Linked DNA regions of Macaca mulatta. The protein of the gene in region 7 purifies or fractionates together with the protein of the main gene of each other region. This does not show direct contact. Links are inferred from orthologs where the notes say so. Each region holds a gene or a part of one and is shown on either strand. Other genes may lie near its edges.

Region 1 (3,500 bases), on a different chromosome or scaffold from region 7:
TTCGCTCTTGTCGCCTAGGCTGGAGTACAGTGGTGCAATCTTGGCTCACTGCAACCTCCACCTCCCGGGTACAAGCGATTCTCCTATCTCAGCCTCCCGAGTAGCTGGGATTACAGGCACGCACCACCATGCCCAGCTAATTTTTGTATTTTTAGTAGAGACAGGGTTTTGCTGTGTTGGCCAGGCTGGTTTCGAACTCCTGACCTCAGGTGATCCGCCTGCCTTGGTCTCCCAAAGTGCTGAGATTACAGGCATGAGGCACCGTGCCTGGCCTTTTTTTTTTTTTTTTTTTTTTCATGATTAGACTGGGGCAGTGGGTTTTTGAGAGAAAGGTCACGGAAGTAAGATTGCAGTGAATTGAGTTCATGCCACTACATTCCAGCCAGGGTGACAGAGCGAGACCCTGTCTCAAAAAAAAAAAAAAAAAAAAAAGAGGGAGTTATGTTCCCCTCTTTTAGGATAGAGTATCTACATAATTTATTTGGAATTCTTCTGCATAGGAGATTTGTCCTTGCTCTCCCATTTATTAATTTCAGTCATTTATTTATATTAGTATGGATTAATGGATTTTTAAAAATACTTTATATTATAATCCAATACTAGTTTATTCTGTTGCTCAGATTGTTCCAGCTTTGGCCATTTGGAGCTCTTTCAGTGGGCTCCTGTACCTCTTTTACATGCCCCCATCAATGAGTTGTTTTTGTTTTATTTTGTTTAAAAAGTTTGATTTTTTTTTTTTTTTTTTTTTGGTCTGTTGTAGGAAGCCACAGGTGGAAGTTTGGTTATACAATAGGAGAAAGGTTAATTGAGAATATTAATAATTATTAAGGGAGGCAAATATTTTTCCATTTATATAGCTTAATTTATTTAAAGTCTGCTTCAGATGATGTGTTTTCTCGTAGGAACACTAGTGTAGCAAGTTTTGCCTAACCTTTCTCTGAAGTTTTCATTAGAAAAAAGTAACAGAGAATATACTTGCTGCCTTACAATATGAATCTGTTTCAATGTTGGAGAATTCCATATGTTAAAATAGAATTTCATTGAACTTAACACATGGTTTTAGAAAAGTAGCATTCCCTTTACCAAAGAATGGGTGAGATAAAAATCACAAATAGATAACTTTTTAAAGTCTGGCATTGAAGAAAGCATATTTTATTAAACTGCCATTTACCCTCTGTGTTTTCTTTTTTTTTCTTTTTTTTGAGGTAGAGTCTCACTCTGTCACCCAGGCTGGAGTACAGTGGTGCGATCTTGGCTCACTGTAACATCCACCTCCTGGGTTCAAGTGATTCTTTTGCCTCAGCCTCCTGAGTAGCTGGGACTGTAGATGTGCATCACTACACCCAGCTAATTTTTGTATTTTTAGTAAAGACAGGGTTTCACTATGTTGGCCAGGCTGGTCTTGAACTCCTGACCTCAAGGGATCCGCCCGCCTTGGCCTCCCAAAGTGCTGGGATTACAGGCGTGAGCCATCACACCTGACTCTTGTGTGTATTCTTAATGCTGGATTGTTGGTCCAGGATATGAAATTTATTATTTAGAGGTAGGAAAGACCCAGAGGAGATGGGACTTGATTTAGAACTTGAAAGAAATAATTTGGATTAGCAGAGAGAAAAAGAGTATTCCAGGTTGCAGAAAAGCAAACAAAAAAGACAGATACAGGAATAATCTCAGGCTCTGTGAGTGTAGTGATTATGTCATTCATTTTTTTCCCCCTTGTATCTGGAGCAGGGCTTATGTATTGCAGGTGCTCTGTAAATGTATATTGAACTGAATTAAATGGAAACAAGTGGCTCTTTTAGCATCAGTTTGTAGCATCTATGGGAATCCTGTTTTTGTAGACAGAAAATCACAGAGAACAATAAATCAACTCTAAAATCCTCAAAAGTAACTAACTCCCTTGCCCCTTTTCTCATCTTCTTGTATATAGTACAGGACAGCAAAATACAGCTTCCAATTGTACAGCTGCGTAAAGTGTGGGCTGAAGCAGTGCACTATGTGTCTGGACTAAAAGAAGACTACAGCAGGCTCTTTCAGGGACAAAGGGCAGCAATGTAAGTGGATTCTGTTGTTTATAAGCACAATGCAATGTGCATCATATACTCAAGAATTAATCTTGCTGGTTTTCACTAATCAATATTTCATGTAATAGTAACATACTAGGCCAATTTGAAGTGTAATGTTCTGATTAAACTTGTAGAATTCTCACTAATGGACTGAGACCATTCTATTATAATGACTTGAGGGTAATAATTCCCGTATGGTCCTAGTACAAAAAGATTGTTTATCACAGAATATTATAGGCAGGAAGTCTTTAGAGATCAGATTCTAGAGATCAGTTATTTCTCATAGATTGATAATAGAAACTTAGGCTTTGGCCTTGTGGCAGTTTATGTTTTTAAATTATTGTTCAATGTTTCTGAATGCCGAATGCTGATAATATCTTTTTTCTTTTTTTTTTGCTATGGTTTAGGTTAAGTCTTCTTAGATATAATGCTAACTTAACAAAAATGAAGAACACTTTGATCTCAGCATCACAACAACTGAAAGCTAAATTGGAGTTTTTTCACAAAAGCATTCAGCTTGACTTGGAGAGATACAGCGAGCAGATGACGTATGGGATATGTAAGTGTCTGAGTAATATATTTCAAAGGAATATCTGGTTTCTTGAAGCCATCTGTTGTTTTGCCTTCTTAACTCAGCCAGTTGTTTTACTTACCTTCACATTAGGACAGGAGACAGGACAACTTAGATTACCAGAAACCATGTTTGTTTTGAATGTTACCTCTTTTTAAAAATTTGCTTAGTTGAGCAATTTAGTTTCACAATTGGGCTAAAATTATTTAGCTCCAAAAAAATACAGAAGCAATTTAATAATCTTGAATTTCAAACATAATTTAAAAATAAATACAAAATCTGGACTTCTTAGCCAGTGCTGTGGACTGAATGTTTGTGTCCCCCATGAAATACATATGTTGAAATTCTGACCCTGAAGGTGACGGTGTTGGTAGGTGGAGTCTTTGGGAAGTGACTAGGTCATGAGAGTGGAGCCTTCGTGTTTGGGATTAATGCTCTTACAAAAGAGGCCTGAATGAGATCCCTCACCCCTTCTGCATGTGAGGACAGAGCAAGAAGATAGTCATCAGGAACCAGAAAGCAGGCCCTCACCAGATACCAAATCTGCCTTGTTCTTGGACTTCCCAGCCTTCAGAACTATAAGAAATAAATTTCTATTGTTTTTATGGCACTTAGTCTATGGTATTTTTTTATAGTAGCCCAAATGGACTAAGACAACCAGGGGAGTCTTAAACTACTTACCTTTCTGTAAATAATGACACAAATATTCTAAGGCTATGATTTTTTTCAAACCATCTACCGTGGAGTCCTATTTTTTGCATACACGATCTCCAAATTTTCAATATTTGATTCCAAGCTTATCTCCTTCAGATGCACTAAGGAAATGTAAAAAGACAGAGTTAAAATATGAGTAAATTGAAGGA
Region 2 (4,154 bases), on a different chromosome or scaffold from region 7:
CCCCACGTGCATTTTTGGAAGTTTTTAGTCATTGGGAGCCATGGCATTTCTTTTCTCTGTATTACAAACTGTTACACTCACTTTCTTTGACTATTAACATTGGAACAGTAGACCTCCTGTTCTGTGACTGACTGGCAGGCAGAAATGACACGGACAGGAAATGGGAAATGGTTCAGGGTCTTGGAATTCCCCCGGCTGCCTAATTAAGTGGTTCGCTATTTGGAAGTTTTTAAAATATTTGCCCCTTGGAGTTCCCCAGAGAGAAGCAAGCATTGGATTCAATGGGCAAAGAGCGTCAACTTCAAAAGTCATTCGTTGGCTGTCATAGCACAAACATTTACTGCATGCCACTGTGTCTATGGCACTACTGGGGGAGTATGGCGGAGGGATACAAAAGGTCCATCACTAGTAAAAGCCAAGGGTGTTTGTTTACAAATTTTCTATTACCTAAGCATTAAAAAAAAAAACAACCTTGGGCTTCTCTGTGGTTTATGTACAATTATATGTGCATGTACACCAATACACAGGCGGACGTATATATTTCATTTTATTGAAACATTCAGAAAATACTGGGAGTGAAGCCTGACTTGCAATACCGTTCCCGTTGCTGGCAATGAGCATCTGAAATAATGACACTTTTGTCTTTAGTGCATATGCACTGTTTGTCTCCAGAACAGAAAACCAAAAGTTTAAAAACAAGATAACCTAGTTGATTGTAAAACTCATCGAGTCAAAATTATTCATCAGATGCTTCCTACTTTCCAACGCTTCGCTTTTTTCGATTTGCACAAACAGCTGTTGAACGCTGATGCTACACAAACGGTTACAACTGTTTACTTGAGCAAAAAATGCCATCAGACTGACTCCATCCTCAAAATGCAGTCATCTCGACGGGGGAGGCATCACACTAGGGGAGCCTTGCCAGGGGCCAGATCATAACCCTGAGGTGACACAGGGTAGACGCGCAAAACCACCGGCGCCAGGGCGTTTCCGCAGGGTTTCCCAAGAGTCAAACGCAGCGGCTCACGGTTTGCCACGTCCCCCAGGAGAATGGTAGGCACAGAGAGAGAGGAAACGTGGAGGGGGCACAAACTGCAAGGTGAAGAAAACGAACAAACACCGAGTTGATACGGATAGTCCCCGTTCCCCTAAGGGCCGACCCCGCGACTCCCGATGGGCGTCCAGTTGCGCCGGGGGTCCCTGAGCCTCCCAGCGTCTTTCCCGGCGGTTAGTCGCCCCACGGCCGCAAGTGCGCTCGGTTTCGCTTTCCGGCCCCAGCCTCCCGGGCGCCCTCGCGCGGCTGCCAACGCGAGTCTCCGGCCGGGCGCGCTGACGTCATCGTGCGTCGGCGTGAGCCCGGATGGGGCGGCGGGCTTCGGGAGCGCCGGAGCTGACCCGAGCCGAGGCGGCCGTGTCTCCTTGTCGGTACCGCCGCTTCCCGGCTCTGGGGAGGCCTCTAGGCTGCCGCGCAGCTTCCTTGTTTGCTGCGCCCGCACTGCGGTGAGTGCTGCTCCTTCCGGACTCGGGCGGCGCGGGGAGGGTGGGGACGCGCGGGCCCGCGGGGGCCCACTTCCCTGATGTGGCGGCCGGGCGAGGAAGGAAGGGGCCAGAGGCCCTTCGGCCAAGGGTCGAGGGTCGCCGGGGGCTCTCTGCTTTCTACTCTCGCCAAGGTTTTATTGGATTCGGAAGCCCAAACTTCAAGACTTGCAGTCAAAGCCGTTTTTAAAATATGACTTGTTTTCAAACCTCCTCTGGCCGCCGCCCACTCTTCTGGCCCTTGGACTTTGACCAAGATGTTTTCTCGCAGTTTTTGCAAGGTTTTAAACAGCCCTCGGCGTTCTTTTAATGTAATACATTGAAACGAAGATATTTCGGTGGCGGTGATATTTCATATTTCATAGTTGCCACTGCGCTCTGTCATTCCAGTAGTCTGTTGTGTATTGTGAGAAACAACTCTGGGTAATTATTGGGTAAATCCCATAGTTTCTATTCTTTTCTCTTCCATCCTATCCCCTGTCCAGCTGCAGTTTGCATAAAGAGAATGCTGCAGTACGGTGCTCGCAGATAAAAGTCTTTCGTTTAAAGATAGTATATAAAAAATCGCGTGTAATTAAAGCAATCATGCCAGTGGGCGTCAGGCCACTGTTTCACAGGCCGCTGTGTTAGGTTTTGTTTTCGGTTGTTTTCTACCGTCGTTGCTTTGAAATTGTAAGGGATTGGCAGAGTTTAAGGGTTTATATTAATGAACTCGTGGTACATTTTACTGCAGTTTTCCTAGTCGCGGAGAGACTTGATATTACAAACTAACGTTGCTGTCTGATTACTGCTGTACTGCTGTTGACAGGGTTTAGTGGAGTACCTTGTCGCTCTCTCTGCCTTTTTCACCAATGTTCCTTTGCCTCCAGCAGAGTGCCAAAGATACCTTTAGGTCAGAAAAGGGGAGGAGAGCAAGGACAAAATGTTTTCCTGTGTGAAAATTTCCATCTGTCTCTAAAGTTGTGCTTTTTAAAGACACGTATAGTTAGTGCTATGGGAGTATGTTGCATTTATTTATTTTAATTAAGAGCTTTTTCAGTTAGAAAGTTGTGACAAATTGCTGGAAATTAAGATGTGTTATCTAAAATGTAAATTATTCTTAGACTTTAGTGAATAAATTGAAGAGTATGTAAGTTCTATTTGGCATGCAAATACGGTTTTCTAAAATACCTTTTGTTTTTTCTTTTCAGATTTACAGCCCTGAAGAATCCTCCTCTCCCTTTCCCCTTGCAGTAATAAATCCCATTTTGGAGATCTCGAAGCTTTATAAAGGGATATAGTTTGAATTCTATGGAGTGTAATTTTGTGTATGAATTATATTTTTAAAACATTGAAGAGTTTTCAGAAAGAAGGCTAGTAGAGTTGATTACTGATACGTTATGCTAAGCAGTACTTTTTTGGTAATACAGTATTTTGTTAGGCGTTTCTGATAACACTAGAAAGGACAAGTTGTGTCTTGTGACAAATTGATTAATGTTTACAGCATGACTGATAATTATAGCTGAATAGTCCTTAAATGATGAACAGGTTATTTAGTTTTTAAATGCAGTGTGAAAAGTGTGCTGTGGAAATTTTATGGCTAACTAATTAAGTTTATGGAGAAAATACCTTCAGTTGATCAAGAATAATAAAGTGGTATACAAAGTTAGGAAGAAAGTCAACATGCTGCAGGAAATAGAAACAAATACAAATGATATTTAACAAAGATAGAAGAGTTTATAGTTTGTGAACTTTAAGCCAAATTCATTTGACATCAAACACTATAACAGGCACAGGTTCAACAAAGCTTGTGGGTGTTGACTTCCCCAAAAGTTGTCAGCTGAAGTAATATAGCCCGCTTATGTAAATACTATGGTGATAAGCTGTGTGAACTTAGCCTTTAAATAGTGTGACCATATGAAGATTTTAATTACTTTTGTTTATTGGAATAAAATGAGATTTTTTGGGGACATTATATTAAAGTGCTTATAGGGAAAGAAGCCTGCATGTAATTTTTTACCTTGTGGCATAATCAGTAATTGATCTGTTACCCAGGCTTCATAGCTTGTAACCAAATATAAATAAAAGGAGTAATTTAGGTATTCTGTAGTTGCTTAGAATTTTGAGAATATAAATCTCTGTGAAAAATCAAGGAGTTTCAACATTTTCAAAAGGGCATCCACCTCTCAGGGCTTTAGGTTAGTATTACTCAAGATTATGAACAAATAGCACTTAGATTACTTAAAAGAGTTACTACAACCCCAAAGACTTGTGTTCCAAGTAGTATCTTGGTAATTCAGAGAGAGACTCATCCTACCTGAATATAAACTGAGATAAATCCAGTAAAGAAAGTGTAGTGAATTCTACGTAAGAGTCTATCATTGATTTCTTTTTGTGGTAAAAATCTTATTTTGTGTGAAGAAATTTCATGTGACTGTTTTAGCTATCAAACAGTACTGTCACCTACTCATGCACAAAACTGCCTCCCAAAGACTTTTCCCAGGTCCCTCGTATCAAAACATTAAGAGTATAATGGAAGATAGCACGATCTTGTCAGATTGGACAAACAGCAACAAACAAAAAATGAAGTATGACTTTTCCTGTGAACTCTACAGAATGTCTACATATTCAACTTTCCC
Region 3 (3,500 bases), on a different chromosome or scaffold from region 7:
GAAGACAGCTTCCACAACATCTGTGCCCATCTACTCTGCCTTCTTCTGTTACTCTGGCTGAACTATCCATACTTCTGGCCAAAGGTGTACCTTTCTGCCTGTGCATTATATCCCATCTGCATTATATCCCATCTACTTTTCTGAGCAATTCTCCTCTCTCTCTTGCATCATCAGCTTTAACTTTCTACTGGATCATTCCTAGAACATACGTAGTCTGTATTTGCATTCTCTAGCTTCTCTTTTCCCCTTCTTTCTTGAGCCGACTCCATTCAGACATATTATGCCAGTACTTCAGAATTGTTCTTGTCAAGGTCACTAGTTATCTCTACATCACTACATTTAAGGAATCATTTTCATTTCTCATCTTGACTCTCAGTAGCACTTGATCTAATTCATTACTTTCTCCTTCTTACACACAGCACTTTATTCAGTTGGCCTCTGAGATACCATACTAGCCTAGATTCCATCTTACATCTCTGGCCATCTGTTCTCAGTTTTCTTTGCTGGTTATTCCTCATCTCCCCAACCTAGAAATGTTGAAGTGCCTAGGGCCCAGTCATTTGGCTTCTTCACTTATCTGTCTGCACTCATTTCCTTGGTAACCTCATCCAGTATTGTGGCATTATATACCATCTGCTGGCTCATAATTTTTTCCATCTTATACCTGAACTCTATACTCATATATCCAACTACTTTCTATACATCTACTAGAAACTCAATATTTTCCAAACAGAGTTCCTGATACTTCCTTCAAACTCAATCTTCCTGTAGTCTTTCCCCATCTCAATTAATAGCCCTCAGTTCTTCTACTAGCTCAGGTTAAAAACCTTAAGTTATTCTTGACTATTAGAAGACTATTTAGGCATCTTGGTTCCTTTTTGTGCTAGCCTTAAGTTTTGCTTAAAATGGGTTTGTTTGGATATCTTCATTAGCTTGAAAAGTCTTATTTCTGTTCCTGCCTGGCTAGTTTATAAAAGAATGTAAGTTACATAATACTAAGTGAAGCATTTTTATTATTTCCAACCAGTAGTCATAAATGTTTCTGCTTTTCCTAGGCTCATTCATGGACATTGCTTCTACAAATACGAGTAATAAAAGTGACACTAATATGGAGCAAGTTCCTGCTACAAATGATACTATTAAGCGCTTAGAGTCAAAATTGTTGAAAAATCAGGCAAAGCAACAGGTTTGTTTTGTTATTACAAGTAAAATTGGTAACCTTAACAGTAGTCACAATATTATACTAAATGAAATTAATTATTTACCATCTTCTATTTTATAAATCCTGAATTTTCTTCCTGAAACATATAGAAGAGCTTACAAATAGAGACTTGTAATGAGAGTCTCCTACCATTTATTACCAAATGGTTTTTCCTTCTAATGATTGCTACCTTTGCCAACTCTAACTCCCTATCTATAATAATCCTTAAATGTAATGGTTGATGGTTAAAAATGTAAAACGGATATATTTTGGCTGTGCTGCCCAGTTAGAGGAGTTGTCCTAAGTGTATCATTTCATGCTATTCAGATTTATATTTTTGCCGTTGTTGATTTTTAAAAATATTGTAAGGAGTGAGTTTATTCATTTTGCCTGAGGCATTTAGGTTAATGAATAATTGGGGCTTTTAGCCCCAGTTCTAGTGACTACTCTTTCATAAAAACAGTATCTGCAGCTTGCTTTCCCTTACTGCTGTAGCTCCCTCTCGTGCAAACTTCCCTCTCCTTTCAGAGCAGAACAGGATCCATCAGAATCCTACTTGCCATCTTCCTCCTTTTAGGTTGCCTAAGACTGCTAAATCTAAAGAACTTCAGTAATTCAGATTGACCTGTAATTTTAACAGAGTGAATCTGGACGTTTAAGCTTGGGAGCCTCCCGTGGGAGCAGTGTGGAGAGCTTGCCCCCAACCTCTGAGGGAAAGAGGATGAGTGCTGACATGTCTGAAATAGAAGCTAGGATCGCTGCAACCACAGGTAAAAAGGAACTACAAGTCTGAAGAGTGAAATGTATATAAGCCTTTTTGGCCATGGTAGTTTCAGTTGTCAGAGGTTTTGTGTGTGTGTCTTTTTTTTTTTTTTTTTAAATAGGAAGTAGGTTTACAATATATTTTTCTAAGTTACTAGCAATAATTTTGCATTTATCTCAAATTCCAAATAAGGAAGGTATGACTTGTAAAATTATTTGGATGAGAAAGTATGCCTTCCTCATTTACAGATTTTATCAAATGTAATTCTTTCTGCTCAAACATGAGTTGAAAGTCTGAGTGAGAAATTCTGCCAAAACCGGAATATTTTGGGGATTTTGAGTGATACTACTAGATTTTTGTGCTGAACTCTAATAATAGCAAATATTTTGTTTCAAATTTAACAGAAAAATGTATTCCAGATCCACGTATGATTTGACCTTCTATCTGCTCCTTCATTCCAGTGACAAAATATTAGCTAAGCTGGTTATGGTTAATTTTTTTAATTGTAAAGTAAAAGATCATAATTTTATTGGATCTTGGAAAAGCTAGCATTTAAATTCCATTGTTCAGTTCTTAAAATTATTAATCATGGAAGAACTGGTCAGCACAAAAACAATTACATGTTTTGTTACCTAAGTAAACTGGCAACCTAATTTTCTGACCAGGTTTCATTTTAGTAATGCTGGTTTAGTTTGGACTTCGTTGTTTTTTGCTGATTCCTTCCAGGGATTGGGGGGAGCTGATTTTAAAAGTAAACACATTTCTGTTGTGGAAAATGTGGAAATGTAAACAAGCCAAAAAAACTTACATAATTACCCCACTCAGAGATAAACACTTAACATTTTTGTGTATTTACCCCAGTCTTTTAACTATATATATACGTATAAATGTGTATTTCTATGTGTATTTGCATCTTTTTTAACTTAGCTAACCAATTTTTTAGGTATTTTTTTCACTTATTTGGTTTTTTTCTAAATAGAATATTCTTATTGTGTGTGGAGCTCTTTCAGAAAGAAGTTGTCAAGATGGACCATCATACTATACTTGTCTTCAACTAATCATGATCATTGATTTTTATCAGCTAGTATTAGAATCCATTAGATATAACAGATTTCCAAAATAACAGTGTCTATAACACATAAGCATTATTTTTCAGACATAAACAAGTCTGAAGGTAGTGGGCTCTGTGATCTTGAAGTAACTGGTCTCCTATTTCTGTGCCGTAATCCCTATTGTATAGCTTCCATTCTCAAAGTTATCCTGTGCTCCAAAATGGTTGTTAAAGTTCCCTTTCATCACTTCTACATTCCAGGCAGCAGGAAGGAAGACATGGGGGTAGGGCAAATAGGCATCCAAGTTCTTTGAAGGAACATTCCCAGATGCCTTTCCTAACAATGTCCACACGTCATTGGTCAGAGTAACATGGTCGAATGGCTACACGTAGCTCCAAGGGAAGAGGAGATCTGCCCTCTTTTATCTGATGACTTTTCTGTCCTAAATAAAATCAGAGTACTATTGCTAAAACAGAAGGGAAGA
Region 4 (4,202 bases), on a different chromosome or scaffold from region 7:
GTCCTTCCAGCTTTGTTGGAGAATAAAGATGTAGAGGAGAACGGTGTTGCCTAAGGCCACACAAGCCAGGCCTGTTGATTTCCAACTTATGGCTTCCTTTGGCAGTGTGGTCGTGAAGCTTGGAATAGAGGAAGATAGGGGTGACAAAAGAGGGACAGGAGTAGAAAGAGGCTTAGGTTTTCAAAAGATGCTCATTTCATTTTGGATGACTATGGCAGGGAAGAGTGGTGGCCTGTCTACTGCTACTGTTACTCGTCACTCATGTGACTGCTTTTATGTATTCATTGGTTTAAATTCCCTGGATCTCCAGAAACATGTTACTTTCCACTGGGGGAAATTTGTGTCATGGTTAAACACACACATACACACACACACCCCTCCTCCTTTCTCAGTGTTAATCACCTTCTCCTATAATTAGCACTTAAAATGTCAAAGGAGAAGAAATTAATTAACAGGAGTATCCAGTGCAGCAAGGCTCTGGGACCGATTATAAAAAGCACTTCCTTAAATATTTTGAGTACTTTTGGGAATCAGAAGCCTCCCTTCTAATTGAAAGATCCTTAACTACACCCTAAGTCCTGGCTGGTGGCCAGGGGTGCAGGGCTGAGTGAGGCGGCGTGTGGAAATCCCTTCTTCACCATCCTTGGGAAAATTCCCTCCTAACTGGGATAGGTGGCAACAGAGGTTCGGAAACAGCAAGCGTCCCAGGCTGAATCTGCGGGGGAGGAAGAGATGAACCTTTCCTGAGCTGGTACTGCGTGCCAGAAACTTTAACTCAGTATTTTGCCACAATCCTATAAGACAACCGATACTATGATCTCCATTTTACAGATGAGGACATTGAGGCACAGCGTGGTTGTGACTTCCCCGAGTCACGCAGCCACTGAATGAAAGCGCCAAAGATTCAAAGTGAGGTCTGATTCTAAAGCTTTGCTCTCTCACGGCATCCTGGAATCCTATTCCCAACCTTCATCTGGACTCTCAACCCAGCCCAAACCTAAGCGTCTACAGTTTTGACAGCTGAGGTAGGAGCACGGGAGGTGGAGCTGGTGACAGCGCAGCGCCCCGCCCCGCCCCGTCTCCGGCACCAGCCAATGGTGACGCGGCACCCACAGCCTTTCGCCCAATCAGCTTGAGCTTCCCGCCTCCATCCCCCGCTCTTCTCCGCCCCGCCCCTCCGCTTTCCCTTTGGTTCCACCGAGCTTGACAGAGCGGAAAGTCCCTTCGGCCGGCGCCGGGCCGGCAGCCATTGGAGGAAGGTCTGTCACAGGGAGGCCCAATCAGGGCCCGCTCAAGAGAGCAGCTCGGCCTGCGATTGGCCAGCGCGGCGTCTGCCCCCTCCGCCCCCGCTCCCTCCCTCTCCTCTGGGCGGTTCGGAGGCGGGGCAGGTGGGGGCGGGCCCAGGTAGCAGGTTCGGCTGCGCGGGGGCCGCGCGTCGGAGGTAAATACTAGGGCGGTGGGTGTGGGGCGCCGGGGCCGGCCCGGGACGCAGGCTGGGGAGCCGGGGCGAGGGGCGACGCCCCGCCGCCCGAGGTTAGTGAGTGAGCGGGCGGCGGGCGGCGGGCGGCGGGCGGCCGGATCCCCTCGGCGCAGCCACCCGGCCTCAGGGCGTCCGGAGCCGCTGCGGCGACCGTCGGGCCCTCGGCGCCGGCCCGTTAGTTGCCCGGGCCCGAGCCGGCCGGGCCAGTGGGGTGCCGAGCACGCTGACGTCAGCCCGGGCTTCCCCACCCCCGGGGCTTCCCCATCCCCCGAGGCTTCCCGGGAGGGCTCCGAGTCCGGGGAGCGTGCCGGGTCTCCACCGTCGGGACCCTCGGAGGAGAGAGGACTTGGGGCGGGAGTCGCGCGGGACACTGTCCCCCTCCTCGCCCCCCACCCCATTTACAGATGGGGAGACTGAGGCACAGGCCGCTGGCGGGCCCCGACGGCCACCGTTGGCCTCAGGAGCTCGGGGCTGTGATTCCTACCGTCCGCGCCGCGGGGCGTATGCAGCGATCGATTTTGCGGGTGTTGGTGGCTCCCGTCCAGAAATCGCAGTCGGGGTTCTGGCCTCGTTAATGGCGTGTTCTGCTTTTTCTTTCAGTTTCCCCCTTTCCAGGGTGAGGATGGTTCTACACAGCCACCTGGAGTTCCTTAGTTGAAAGGTGCGCCCTGTTGTGACAGGTATTCTTTCTTTATGTTTTTCTTTCATGTTAACAATGGTGGGGGGGGGGGGGTGGCGGAAGGGGGGCGGAAGGGAAGTCATGAAATCTTGAGGAAGATGGTGTTGAGTTTGGTACTCAGCTGGGTCAGCTGCCGGTTATTCATGCACTTGGCATCGTTTCTTTTCCACCCCTTGGCATTTGAATGTTTTAGGATAGTTGTCATCTTCCAGCCACCAAGCCTGTGGCCTTGCAATCTCCCAGCCCCCATCATCCCCGCCACTTTCTTTTCTCCAGTTTTTCCTGGAAAGTTGTATCCTTAGCTCAGCTGAGGAGCATGCCTACCTTGCTTTTGAATATGGTCTAGAGATCTTAATAGGATTGTTCATTTTGCAATCATTGGCTCTCAGAGAAGCACCCAGGCCTTGAGAGGGTGTTCATTTGATTGTTGGCTTTCTACACACCCCCTCATGCCCCAAGTAGATTGAATGGCCTTAAGAATTTAGCCTGCCATTCCCCACTGAGTAGTGGGTGGATTTGAAGTAGAACAGTATTAGGAGAAAATGATTTGCTGGAAATTCTTATTGAAGTTCATGTACTCTGGATGTCGATAACACCCAGAACATTCTCTAATATTCTGCTGCAAAATTGTATAGTATTCTTGCAAATAAACCTTCCTTTGGGTGGTAACTTTTGTGAGAAGCAGATAAGACTTGTTGTATAAAGCAACAACTAACATTAAGCAGCAATAATTTTTGTAGTCTGGCACACCTAAACTGTGGTTTTGTTTGATTTAAGGAAGTCTCCAGCACAAGGAGAGAGAAAGGAATACTTATGTTGTTTATCGAACTATTAGTATTTTGTTCCTGATTTTCACACTATGATCTTAAATTAGTTTTTTTTTTTTTTCCATTGGTTGAACAGAATTTCTAAGTAGATACACGCTAGTGAGGCTCTAGGAAGCTAGTTTCAAATAAACCTCAAAACAACTTGGTTTCGTAATTGTGAAATTTTCTGTATTTGTTTCTTATATGTGTAACAATGAAGTGGTTTAGCATGATTTCATTTTATCCAGAGAATTAGTGAAGTTTTAGGCAAAATTCATTAAATGTTCCCAATTCCTTAGCCTTTTTCTTTTCTCTTTCTCTTGTTTTAATCCCTTAAACAGGAGGAGGAAATGCAATTTTGTTTTCACTGTTGGCACTTGAGTCTTTCATTCATTTCTCCGTATTCAGTGCCTAGCATATGCCAGGCTCTCGTGTGGGCACTGGATAATATAAAAATGAAGGACTTGGGGAATTCACAGTTTGGCAGTGGAGTGGCTAGGTTTAACACTAGAGAGGCAGCAGTATTCCGTGTTCCGGCGGGAATATGCAGATGTGAGAGGCTTTGCTTTTCTTTTAACCTTATAAATCCCACTTATATTAGGGACTGTGTACTTGTGACACAAGTTAGTCATTGAGGAAAATTAAAACGGACTCAGTCTTTTTTTCTGGCCACGGAATCTCTGTATCCCTATTCTTTAGCTGTTTAGAAATATAACAACTTTGTCTTTTAGTGAGAGGTGTTCTTTTTTAAAAGAGTAATCATTCTAGCTATCCAGAAGCTTTTGGGAAAAGGCCCACATGTCTTCTTTCTTTGGTGTCCACGCTGACCTTCCTACCTCTTTGCCATTGGTAATTAGGGGCAGAATTAAGTATTGTAATTTTTATTCTAATTTAGGTAGCTTCCTTTTTAGAACAAGCAGGATATCTCAAGAGATGCAAAAAGCTCTTGAATTGGATCTGTCTTTGTGAGATCCTTATGAACAATATAACCTGATAACTTGAGAATCAGAAAGACACTGTATCTTCTGGATAAGTTAACCATTGTTAGTTTTCTGTTGCTACTGATGTTCATTTGTAGTATATGTTGCCTTTCAGAATGTGGTAATTGTAATCTTTAACATTTTCATGTAAAGCTTATTTCCTGATCATCTTTCCATTGCCTTCATGGAAAATTGATAAATATTTGTGCCTTCCAACCCTCATCTTGGTTTAATGACTTTATCTTAATACAAGTAAG
Region 5 (4,175 bases), on a different chromosome or scaffold from region 7:
GGTGACAGAGCCAGACTCCGTCTCAAAAAAAAAAAAAAAAGAGTGTTCTATCAATTTTTTCCAAAAATATCTATGTTTACATTTTGTAGATTACTGACATGTACAACAGCTTTATGTTTTAATGTTAAGTTAAAAATGGGCAAGGGAATGCAGAGCTTTTTGAAATTCTTCTGGTGAGTACATAATCAAAAATGTGTAAGGCCCACAAATTATTTTCCATAATCTCAGGAGTGAGTTGAAAATGGCTTAGAAAGTCTTGATTGAAGCAGACTCAAATGTGGATTAAAGTCTCCATATGATAAATACACTTAGTCTTTCTGAAATAATTCCAACTGGAACTTCAGTTGCTATGGACAGCCAAGTCCACCTAAACCAGAAGATGCCTCAGCTCAGTCCATTGTGTGCAGAATGCACTGGATGCTGTTTCCACAGAATGATGAAGGACCAAATAATCTTTATGGGCTCTGCCTCTGGTTGGTAACTGTCTTTGATCTACTGGAAGACAGAAAATCAGATGAGCTCTCCCAAATCCATCTCTTACCCTGGTATGGATGGCTCTCAGATAAAGTTGCTTAAAGTTACTACTTAGAGAACGTTGAGGAAAATATGGCAGTGCAGTTAGACTCGAAGATGTCAGGTTTCCCTGAGAATGGCACTGCAACTCAGACACCTGCCCTGTGAAATCAAAGGCTATAAAGGAGGGATTTTTTTAAGTAGCCAACTCCACCATACTTATTAAAAAAAACAACAACCCAAAACTCACCAAACAAAACAAAAAGTATTTCAATACAGAAAATTAATAAAGCAATTTCAATCTTTAAAATGGTAAAAATAAACTGCAAAGGAGAACTGCATGATTTTTTTCACATACCCCTACATTTCCTTTCACCTCTTACTTTCTTGATCAGAACAAAAAGTAAAAATAAATAGAAAGATTTCACAAAGTTTCGAATTTTTTTTTTTAATGCTGGACTTCTGCAGCTATAGTAGAAGATTGAAAACCCGAACCTTTTTACGTGTAAAGTGTATGGCAGATGGAGGGTGAATAGGGCATATTGACCTTTTCCAGGCAGGCTGAGCAATGACCGTCCTCTCTGTATGGGTTGTTATCAAGATTTCCTCTGGCCCACGAGCAATGAAGCAAATGTCTTTCAGTAAATGCCGCGCAGATAGGCCACGGTTAAAAGTCATGCTTTTGGGTCATGGAAATCCCCGAGCGGGTTTGCCAGGCCACTGATTAAGAGGAAGTGTCTGTGGTTATTACCCCTGGAGTTCCCCTAAGTCCTAAAAGGAAAGCACCAGTGCACATGCAAACCACTGGGAGGAGTGCGGAACGCCTGCTACGGGTAGGGGTGGGGATTTGGGTGACGCATTTAAAGGACAGCGTGAGACTCGCGCCCTCCGCACGGAACAGGCCGGGCGACAGGTGTCGCTTGAAAAGACTGGGCTTGTCCTTGCTGGTGCATGCGTCGTCGGCCTCTAGGCAGCAGGTGGGCGAGGAAGGCTGGGGTGTGCGTGCGTGTGTGTGTGTGTGTGTGTGCGCGCGGGCAGCAGGTGGGCGAGGAAGGCTGCTGTGTGCTTGTGTGTTTGTGTGTGTGCGTGCGCGCGCGCGCCTCCCCTGGGGTAAGAGGTGTGCCAGCGGGTGGCCGAGGGGTGCTCAGGGCTAGAGCGCTGCAGAGGTTGAGAGTCAGTGGGTGGGGCGCAGTTATCAAACGTCAGGGCCCAAAGGCAGGCTCTAGATAGGTTCCAGGTGCTCAATTTCTATTTTACCTTTGGAGTGAGCCAGTGGAATTGTGCAGCTGTGTCATTTTGATTCGGTTGCCAAGAGTTATCACTGGGCCTTTGCAGGTGCCAAATAAATTTCAGGACCGAGCCTAACACAGAGCTCTGGCACAGGAAGGAAGTAAAGTGTTTAATGAGCAAATGGAGGCATGTTTCCAACCTGTGGTAGGAAGACAGCAGTTTTTGGTTGTCTTCCTGGTGATCAGCATGGAAACCCAGAAGTGCTCTTACTCTGATCAATACAGTGTCGAAGGCATGTACCTGATGCTAACGTAACAATAATATTAACTATTGACTTTATTTGCTATTATGTATTGCTAACATTAAGTACTGCTACCTGCTATATGCTAGGTTTCTCTCTGAAGAATTTACATGTATTTTTCACGTTTAATTATCATAATCTTAAGGAGCAGAATTATCTCCATTTGACAGTGAGGAAACTGAGGCTCTTGGAGATTTACTTGTGCAACGTCATGCTTCTGGTTACCGGGCTGCTTGGTACTGAGCACCCCAGATGTCTGACTCCAAAGCCTGATCCTAATCAATCACTGAGTAGACTCTGTGGTCATTAATGTAAAATTGATAGAAGTACTGTGGTCACTCGGGGCTCAGTCACATTTGCTAACATTTATTCCTTCAACGGGAAGTCTTTGTGTCTACCCTGTATGCCAAGCTCTGCAGATGCTATGAGTGGGAGGGCAGGTACAGAGATGAAACATATTAATAGCTGCGGTTCTAAAATACCTTACTGTCTAGGGGGAGGCAGAAAGAAAAGGCACACTTGCCCTCCAGTGTCATAGAAATGGATGTGCCGCGTGCCCAAAGGGTAGGGATGCCCAACAGCCCTGGGATTGGGGAGGTTGCTTTCTTGGTAGGTTAAATGGAAGAGTCAGAAGACGAAAGGTTGGGGACTGAGCCAATCTGAGAAGGAGCCACTAGAAATGAAAGAAGAATCCCAAGAGCTTGGTATCAGAGAAGCCCAGGGAATGGGACATTTCTAAGAGGAAGTGTGCCCCAACGTCAGATGCAAACATTTCCATTTGTTTTGGCAAAAAAACCATTGGTGTTATTAATACTGAGAGCAGTTTTAAGTGATGCTGACTTAATGAGTAAATGGGAGAGGGAAAATGGAGACATTAACCGTACACACATGTCCAGTTTGCTTGGCTATGAAGGGAAGGGGCGATACAGGGTAGTTGCTACAGTGGGAAGTGGGGTTGAAAGGGGATTTTTTTTTTTTTTTTAGACGGAGTCTCACTGTGTCACCCAGGCTGGAGTACAGTGGCGCAGTCTCAGCTCACTGCAACCTCTGCCTCCTGGGTTCAAGCGATTCTCCTTCCTCAGCCTCCCAAGTAGTTGGTAGTAAAGGTGCACGCCACCATGCCTGGCTAATTTTTTGCATTTCTTTTTAGTAGAGATGGGGTTTCACCGTGTTAGCCAGGATGGCCTTGATCTCCTGACCTTGTGATCCACCCGCCTCAGCCTCCTGAAGCGCTGGCATTACAGGCATGAGCCACCGCACCTGGCCGAAAGAGAATTTTAAAAATTTCTTTCATTTGAGAGTTGAGATAGATTTAAGCATGGTTGTTATGTGGAAGGAAAAGGGCCAGTTGAGAGTGAGAGGAATGAGAGTTGACGCAATGAGGGAGATGGGATTAAGAACAAGACTTCTGAGGCAGTAGGAGAGTTTAGGATCCCATAAGGGGGCAAGTCTTTAACTGAGGCAGCAAGTAGGTTGTGAGCCAAAAAGGCTTGGATATGAGAATGTGAGGCGGTTCCTGCTCAATGATATCTCTTTTCTTTGAGAAATAGAAGGCAAAGCAATGGACTGAAAATGAGATGGAGTGCAGTGGAGAAATCTGAGGAAGGTGTTGAAGGTTTAGAAGGGTGCATAGGGCAGTGGGCTAGGGGGCTGAGCAGGGCGAAAAGGAATTGCTAAGGGGTGGCAAAGGAGTCTTAAGTGATGCTGGTCCCAGTCTGCAGGGCTGCATCTAGGTGTTGGAAATTGTTAGGACAGAGGCTGAAGTGATCTGGGGTTGACATCTTGGCATATTTTTGTATATTTATTGTATAGTTGTTGCCTGAATTTCCACAAATATATACCTTGCTGGAGTGCAGTGGCATGATCTTGGCTCACTGCAACCTCCACCTTCTGGGTTCAAGTGATTCTCCTACCTCAGTCTCCTGAGTAGCTGGAACTACAGGTGCGTGCCACCACACCTGACGAATTTTTTTTGTATTTTTAGTAGAGACAGGGTTTCACCATGTTGGCCAGCCTGGTCTCAAACTCCTGATCTCAAGTCATCTGCTTGCCTTGGCCTCCCAAAGTGCTGGGATTACAGGCGTGAGCCACCACGCCTGACCTAAAGCTTCTTTAGGATAAGATTTGTGTA
Region 6 (3,500 bases), on a different chromosome or scaffold from region 7:
AAGTTTAAAAGTTTGTCCCAGACCTCCAGTTATAATGCTTCTATGGCAGATTCCCCAGGTAAATTTTGTAAAGAGAATAAACGTGAGCACCTTTTGTTGCTCTTCTGTGAGGATGATGTTTCTGAAGAGGAGACAAGACATATACTGTTGTGCTACTTAGAGATGATTGTGTTCTCCTGCCTTACTGCAGTTCTCCTGAAAACAAATAACCTGTTTTTGCTGATGATGTTTGTTTTCAGCTATAGACTGTAAGGGAAATCAAATCGCTTTTATTTTCTGGCAATTGAATATGAGTGAAACTTGGCCGTGTATGTTTTGATGTGGTTCTCTTTCTCTTCTGTGGTTTTGAAGCTGGTGTTTGATCCTTAACTATTCACCTTTTCATTCTTACAGTCCTGGCTGTCCAGTCTGCCTTCCCAGTCACTGTCAGCCCTGCTGTCTTCCAGAAAAGACTTTCTCTGGCCCTAATTATGCTCTTCTACACCCACATACAGATCTTGAATTCAAAGTGTTGTCTCTTCTTCATTGGATTTCACTTATTTAACACTGACAAACCTTTACAATGTGTCTGTTCTGTAATGGGCATGTGCTAGGCACTAAATTGAACTTGACCCAGTTCTCACATCTAATATTTGGAAAGGTAGGAAAGAATGCTCACCTTTCTCCAGTTACCCAGGTTTTAGATTTTACATAAGACAACTTCAGACCTACAGGCTTCCAGAAGCAGGTTGACACTGTGGAACCTTGGGAGCAAAATCACTTTTTATCTCCAATCCTCCTGTCTGTTCCAAGCACATCCAGACATTTTAGGCATACATAGCTGAGCATTCTCTCAAGCATGGAGAAATAGCTTCCTGGAGTTACATGATCCAGGGGTAGCTTCTTTAAGAGAGAATACTCTAGAGGGTTAAATAATAAAGATCACAGGATTATCTTGTGATGCTGTTTCAAACTGCGCTCTGCTTAGTCACCAGGCCATAACCACTGTCATGTGATAGTTTTAAGAGGGTAATTGTTTCAGCCCTTCTTAAAGCAGAAGTAAAAGGATTACTCCTGCCAGAAGCTCTTGCAGTAATTGATTTCATCTCTGCTTTCCCCACCCCAAACCAAAACAAAACTGTAGCATTCTTAGGCAACTGTCAGGTTTTTGAAAGAATGTTGACAAGGAAATGATGACTCAGTCTTGTATTTCCCCAAATTCATAAGTTAGAGGCCAAGTGAAAGCTTTGCAAACATTGATAAAAGTATAAAAAGACTCTAGTGTTATTCAAGGATACTTTTTATCGTTCTTTATACAGTTTTTTCCCTTGACTAACATGGAACCATCTAACAGGTACATTTCAAAGCAGTCATATTGGGACAGGGTGTTTCGTTTCTTAGTTGTTTGATTTTAATAGAAAATGTTGTGAATCTGATGCTGTTGTCTGTTGGTAACTTGGTTGACTTAGCGAAAATGTAATGTAGTCTCTCCAGGTGAAGAGTCTTTTGAAGACCTGACCGAAGAAAGCAAAACGCTGGCCTGGAATAACATCACCAAACTGCAGTTACACGAGCACTATAAAATCCACAAAGAGTAAGAATATCTCTGCTTCTTCTCAGCAGCTGATGGTCCTGGCGAAAGTTAGGGTCTTGGCATGGGCTTAAACTGTTTTAAGCTGAGTCAGAGGGAACATTCCCTTTCAATGTTGTCTTGATTTTGAAAAATCTCCCCCAAATGTCTATAGCGATCTCCACCTGAGGTGGATGTAGTAGGAAAGTTTGGCACGAAATGATTTGTGGTGGCTACCATGCTGTCATTTCTGCAGTCTGTCACTTCACAGTACATCTGCAGAGAGCAGCCAGTTTTGTGCCTCTCAAATTGGGGTACACAGCTCCTTGCATCTGTGATGGGAGAAGTGTGATATATACCCCACAAGTGTTGAATTTACACATAATGTAGGCGAAAAGCCTCCTTTTAAAAATAATTAGCTCTCTCAGAGAGAGAACATTGCAAAGTTCACACGAATTTTAAAAACAATAATTATAACAATAATTATACTTCTAAGAAATTGGGCTTGCTGTTGGACCCAGAGATGACATGTGTGTTCTCTGCCCTCTGTCATTAAGACCTTCATGTTCTCTGGTAGAAAGGCTTGAGAACCACTGACCTAGCCTGTTCATCCTGCTACAGAGAGGAAACCCAGGTCCAGAGACTAGGCCCTACCTTGCTGCATGACCGTAGACAGCCCCTCCGGTATATTGGTCACGGGTGGAGCTGGGTATGCTGCTCTGCATTAGATGGATGGCTTCATGTCACAATCCAGCCTCCCGAAGAGAAACAAGGAGTTTTGGCTGATTCATGATGACAATGGCTGTCTTTTCTCAACTTCTCTAAATGGCACATAGGAAGGGACCTTGTAATCCAAGATAGTGAAGACTGAATGATCCTTTAAGAGGACAGGCTGGAACCAATTTTCTTATCATTGAATAGTCACTGAGTAAATTAGCTTCAGTAATGAGCAAATGAAGTGACTATGAAGAAGAATTTGTCCCTTTGGTGATGGTCAAACGAGAGGGAATAGAAGGAGAAGAGTTTTCCAATTGCCAGAAATTGTCAGGAATATGTGAAGCATTGCATGTGGAACACAGGGAGGCAAAGAGTGGGGATGTTTTCTAGTCACAGGTGTTGCCAGAACATGAGAAGTTGCCAAGCGGTGATTTGGTAATGGCAGGCTTATGCTGGGACAGATCTGGCAGGCATACTGTGAAGAAAAACATTAAGGAAACTTGGTATAATTAACTCAAGGACGTGAAACAAAGCGGGTGTCCTAACACATGATGAGTAGTAATTTGTGAAACTTTGTTTTTGAGCAGAGCAGTTACTGGAATCACAGTCTCTCGCAATGGATCTTCAGTGTTCACAACATCCCAAGGTCAGTGTTTCTCCCTGAAAGGCGACTTCACCAGAATCCTAGAATGTCTGAGTTCTTTATTATGTAGCTCGCGGTCAAGGACTGTACTTGCATGTGCTGCCTCCACGTAAACTTAGAGCAGTTCCTTTGTGGTACATTGCATAGAGTTTCATCGTAATTTGCCAAAAATAATAATGAAACATCTTTCTGTTGCTGATGAGGTTTCCCAGAGCTGAGGGTAAAGGACAGAAACAGCCTCCTTTCCACACCCTTGCTGGGTCAGGTCCTTCCCGCCTGCCATAAGAGGGTGCCCTGTCCATTTGTTGGGGTTGGCTGTGAGTCACGAGTGCTGTATCAGAAATCGGCGTGTGCCTGTCAGCACGCGGAGATGCAGATTTGCTGTTACGGTTTTCAGTTCTGTCATTCAGTGTGTATTTCTTCAGAATATTTGATTTAGCTCAAAATCACATTAATATATTATTGAATATGCTTATACATTATGAAAATTATAAAAACCCTTGCAGTGTGTCATTGATATGACTTATTGTAGCTATATAGCAGAAAGCATCCCTTACTATATACACCATTGTTCTCTCCCTGGTAGTCTGC
Region 7 (2,364 bases):
ATTCTTGATTGCATCTTAGGTTTGATGAAATATGGTATTTCCCTCTTAGTCTCTGTGTCCAGGCCTCCTCACTCCTGGCTCCACAGTGGCTGTTCTTGTCACTCACTTGCAAAGAATAAACTCTGAGGGCTCTCAGAGTTTGAACCCCAGCATAGCCACTTATTGGCTATGTGACCTTGGGCAAGCTTCTTAACATCTCTGAGCCGGACTTTTATTTATTTATTTATTTATTTTTGAGACAGGGTTTCATTCTGTCACCCAGGCTGGAGTGCAGTGGCACAACCATGGCTCAGCCTCCACCTCCACGGCTCAAGCCATCCTCTTGCCTTAGCCTCCTGAGTAGCTGGGACTACAGGCACACACCACTACAGCCAGCTAATTTTTTACTTTTTGTAGAGACAGGGTCCTATGATGTTGCCCAGGCTAGCCTCGGACTCCTGGGCTCGAGCAATCCTCCGCCTCGGCCTCCCAAAGTGCGAGGATTACAGGCATGAGCCACCAAGCCTGGCCTGGGCCTTGCCGTTCTTATATTTAAAGAAAGCATAATGACATTCATTTGGTGAATTTATGAGAACCAAAAACAAACAAACAAAACCTGCAACACATCTGACACAAAGCTATTTATTTTCCATTAATCTTCATCTTTTTTTTTTTTTTTTTTTTGAGACAGAGTCCTGCTCTGTTGCCCAGGCTGGAATGCAGTGGCGCAACCTTGGCTCACTGCAACCTCTGCCTCTCAGGTTCAAGCGACTCTCCTGCCTCAGCCTCCCGAGTAGCTGGGATTACAGGCACGTGCCACCATGCCTGGCTAATTTTTGTATTTTTAGTACAGATGGGGTTTTACCAGTTTGGTCAGGCTGGTCTCAAACTCCTGGTTATCCACCCGCTTCAGCCTCCCAGAGTGCGCCACCGCACCTGGCTTGTCTCTTCCTGAAAGCACTTTTTTTTTTATTTTTGAGATGGAGTCTCACTCTAATGCCCAGGCTGGAGTGCAATGGCGCGATCTCGGCTCACTGCAAGCTCCACCTCCTGGGTTTACACCATTCTCCTGCCTCAGCCTCCCGAGAAGCTGGGACTACAGGCGCCTGCCAACATGCCTGGCTAATTTTTTTTGTATTTTTAGTAGAGATGGGATTTCACTGTGTTAGCCAGGATGGTCTCAATCTCCTGATGGTCTCGATCTCCTGACTTTGACCCGCCTCGGCCTCCCAAAGTGCTGGGATTATAGCCGTGAGCCACCACACCTGGCTCCGTTTCTTCTTGAAAGCACTTTTATACTATTCTATGTGGTTCTCACCATGAGCTTGAGAGGTGGGCTACAGTGCCTCTCCCTGCTTTCAGCTTCCTGCTGGGAACTCACTCTCTCAAGTTCCTTCCAGCACCACCCCTTAGAGTTCTCATCACTCCACACTGTCCAGTGACAACTCCCAATGTGGAAGTTCTGCTAGTTCTACAGCGTGCTCTCTGGCTGCCCCAGTAACATGTATTTTTAAATTTTTCATATGCATGTTTGACTCCCCCTCCCCGAAGTCAGGGATTGTAACTAGCAGTGTCATTTAAGAAAAAGCCCTTAAACCTCTCTTTGCGAAAGGATTCTTATCAGCAAAACAGTGATGAAACAGCAATCCCATAACAGCGAGCTAGTTACCTTCTCAAGCACTTATTAAATGAGGCATAATCATTTTGCTTAATCCTCAATCCTGAGAGGTGGGTGATCCCTGTGATGATGAGGAAACCGAGGCTTGGGGGTTAATGGCTTGCCTAGATTCACACTGCTAGCCAAGGAATGGACTGGAATTCATGTGATGACCCTGACTGCTTTTCACATTTTCTCCACAGCCTTTTCAAGATCCCTGCCAATTCTAAAATTAAATGATCCTATGATTAACTGTGTTTCATTCTTCTGCATCAGTTCCCAAAACACATTATATCAAGAGACAGCAAAAATATTTGTAAAGGATGTCCAACAATCTGTGTTGCTGTTTTTCTGCGTTCCTCCAATGGTAGGGCCTCTATTCACCAGTACCGTCTCTTCTTTTAGCTGTAAGAAAACCCTGGAGTGCACCAAGTTGTGCCTACCCCAGACTGAGAATGTTAAGGGCACTGAGGACTCAGGTGAGGAGAAGTGACCGTGCTCACCTGCCCTCTCCCCCTCCTTGCCCCGACCCATCCATCCCACCCATCCGTCTATCCCTGTGGCCCCCCTCTGCCCCCTCCTCTGACCAACACCTGCTTTGTCTCCAGGCACCACAGTGCTGTTGCCCCTGGTCATCTTCTTTGGTCTTTGCCTTTTATCCCTCCTCTTCATTGGTTTAATGTATCGCTACCAACGGTGGAAGTCCAAGCTCTACGCCATTGGTGAGT

The links.
Region 1: the proteins of TNFRSF1A (region 7) and CHUK purify together in Homo sapiens (affinity purification with western blotting; 3 studies listed by BioGRID, with this or other methods). This does not show direct contact. The link is inferred for Macaca mulatta from reciprocal best matches to the Homo sapiens genes TNFRSF1A and CHUK.
Region 2: the proteins of TNFRSF1A (region 7) and BIRC2 purify together in Homo sapiens (affinity purification with western blotting; 9 studies listed by BioGRID and IntAct, with this or other methods). This does not show direct contact. The link is inferred for Macaca mulatta from reciprocal best matches to the Homo sapiens genes TNFRSF1A and BIRC2.
Region 3: the proteins of TNFRSF1A (region 7) and MAP3K7 purify together in Homo sapiens (affinity purification with western blotting; 7 studies listed by BioGRID, with this or other methods). This does not show direct contact. The link is inferred for Macaca mulatta from reciprocal best matches to the Homo sapiens genes TNFRSF1A and MAP3K7.
Region 4: the proteins of TNFRSF1A (region 7) and CYLD purify together in Homo sapiens (affinity purification with western blotting; 4 studies listed by BioGRID, with this or other methods). This does not show direct contact. The link is inferred for Macaca mulatta from reciprocal best matches to the Homo sapiens genes TNFRSF1A and CYLD.
Region 5: the proteins of TNFRSF1A (region 7) and BIRC3 purify together in Homo sapiens (affinity purification with western blotting; 4 studies listed by BioGRID, with this or other methods). This does not show direct contact. The link is inferred for Macaca mulatta from reciprocal best matches to the Homo sapiens genes TNFRSF1A and BIRC3.
Region 6: the proteins of TNFRSF1A (region 7) and NSMAF purify together in Homo sapiens (affinity purification with western blotting; 3 studies listed by BioGRID and IntAct, with this or other methods). This does not show direct contact. The link is inferred for Macaca mulatta from reciprocal best matches to the Homo sapiens genes TNFRSF1A and NSMAF.

The regions. Positions count from the first base shown.
Region 1 is NC_133414.1:112,252,715-112,256,214, reverse strand, and holds part of CHUK (inhibitor of nuclear factor kappa-B kinase subunit alpha), read left to right. Parts: intron 1-1,930; coding exon 1,931-2,054; intron 2,055-2,473; coding exon 2,474-2,625; intron 2,626-3,500.
Region 2 is NC_133419.1:103,217,272-103,221,425, forward strand, and holds the start of BIRC2 (baculoviral IAP repeat-containing protein 2), read left to right. Parts: upstream 1-1,354; 5' UTR 1,355-1,500; intron 1,501-1,517; exon of another isoform or gene 1,518-1,959; intron 1,960-2,726; 5' UTR 2,727-3,984; coding exon 3,985-4,154. UniProt on the Homo sapiens protein: Multi-functional protein which regulates not only caspases and apoptosis, but also modulates inflammatory signaling and immunity, mitogenic kinase signaling, and cell proliferation, as well as cell invasion and metastasis.
Region 3 is NC_133409.1:95,420,016-95,423,515, forward strand, and holds part of MAP3K7 (mitogen-activated protein kinase kinase kinase 7), read left to right. Parts: intron 1-1,055; coding exon 1,056-1,186; intron 1,187-1,841; coding exon 1,842-1,971; intron 1,972-3,500. UniProt on the Homo sapiens protein: Serine/threonine kinase which acts as an essential component of the MAP kinase signal transduction pathway. Plays an important role in the cascades of cellular responses evoked by changes in the environment.
Region 4 is NC_133425.1:46,193,926-46,198,127, forward strand, and holds the start of CYLD (ubiquitin carboxyl-terminal hydrolase CYLD), read left to right. Parts: upstream 1-1,402; 5' UTR 1,403-1,441; exon of another isoform or gene 1,442-1,533; intron 1,534-1,964; exon of another isoform or gene 1,965-2,080; 5' UTR 2,081-2,141; exon of another isoform or gene 2,142-2,510; intron 2,511-4,202. UniProt on the Homo sapiens protein: Deubiquitinase that specifically cleaves 'Lys-63'- and linear 'Met-1'-linked polyubiquitin chains and is involved in NF-kappa-B activation and TNF-alpha-induced necroptosis.
Region 5 is NC_133419.1:103,187,969-103,192,143, forward strand, and holds the start of BIRC3 (baculoviral IAP repeat-containing protein 3), read left to right. Parts: upstream 1-1,375; 5' UTR 1,376-1,490; intron 1,491-4,175. UniProt on the Homo sapiens protein: Multi-functional protein which regulates not only caspases and apoptosis, but also modulates inflammatory signaling and immunity, mitogenic kinase signaling and cell proliferation, as well as cell invasion and metastasis.
Region 6 is NC_133413.1:69,275,871-69,279,370, reverse strand, and holds part of NSMAF (protein FAN), read left to right. Parts: coding exon 1-58; intron 59-1,464; coding exon 1,465-1,573; intron 1,574-2,853; coding exon 2,854-2,912; intron 2,913-3,500. UniProt on the Homo sapiens protein: Couples the p55 TNF-receptor (TNF-R55 / TNFR1) to neutral sphingomyelinase (N-SMASE). Specifically binds to the N-smase activation domain of TNF-R55. May regulate ceramide production by N-SMASE.
Region 7 is NC_133416.1:7,265,028-7,267,391, reverse strand, and holds part of TNFRSF1A (tumor necrosis factor receptor superfamily member 1A), read left to right. Parts: intron 1-681; exon of another isoform or gene 682-696; coding exon of another isoform or gene 697-788; intron 789-2,041; coding exon 2,042-2,115; intron 2,116-2,244; coding exon 2,245-2,358; intron 2,359-2,364.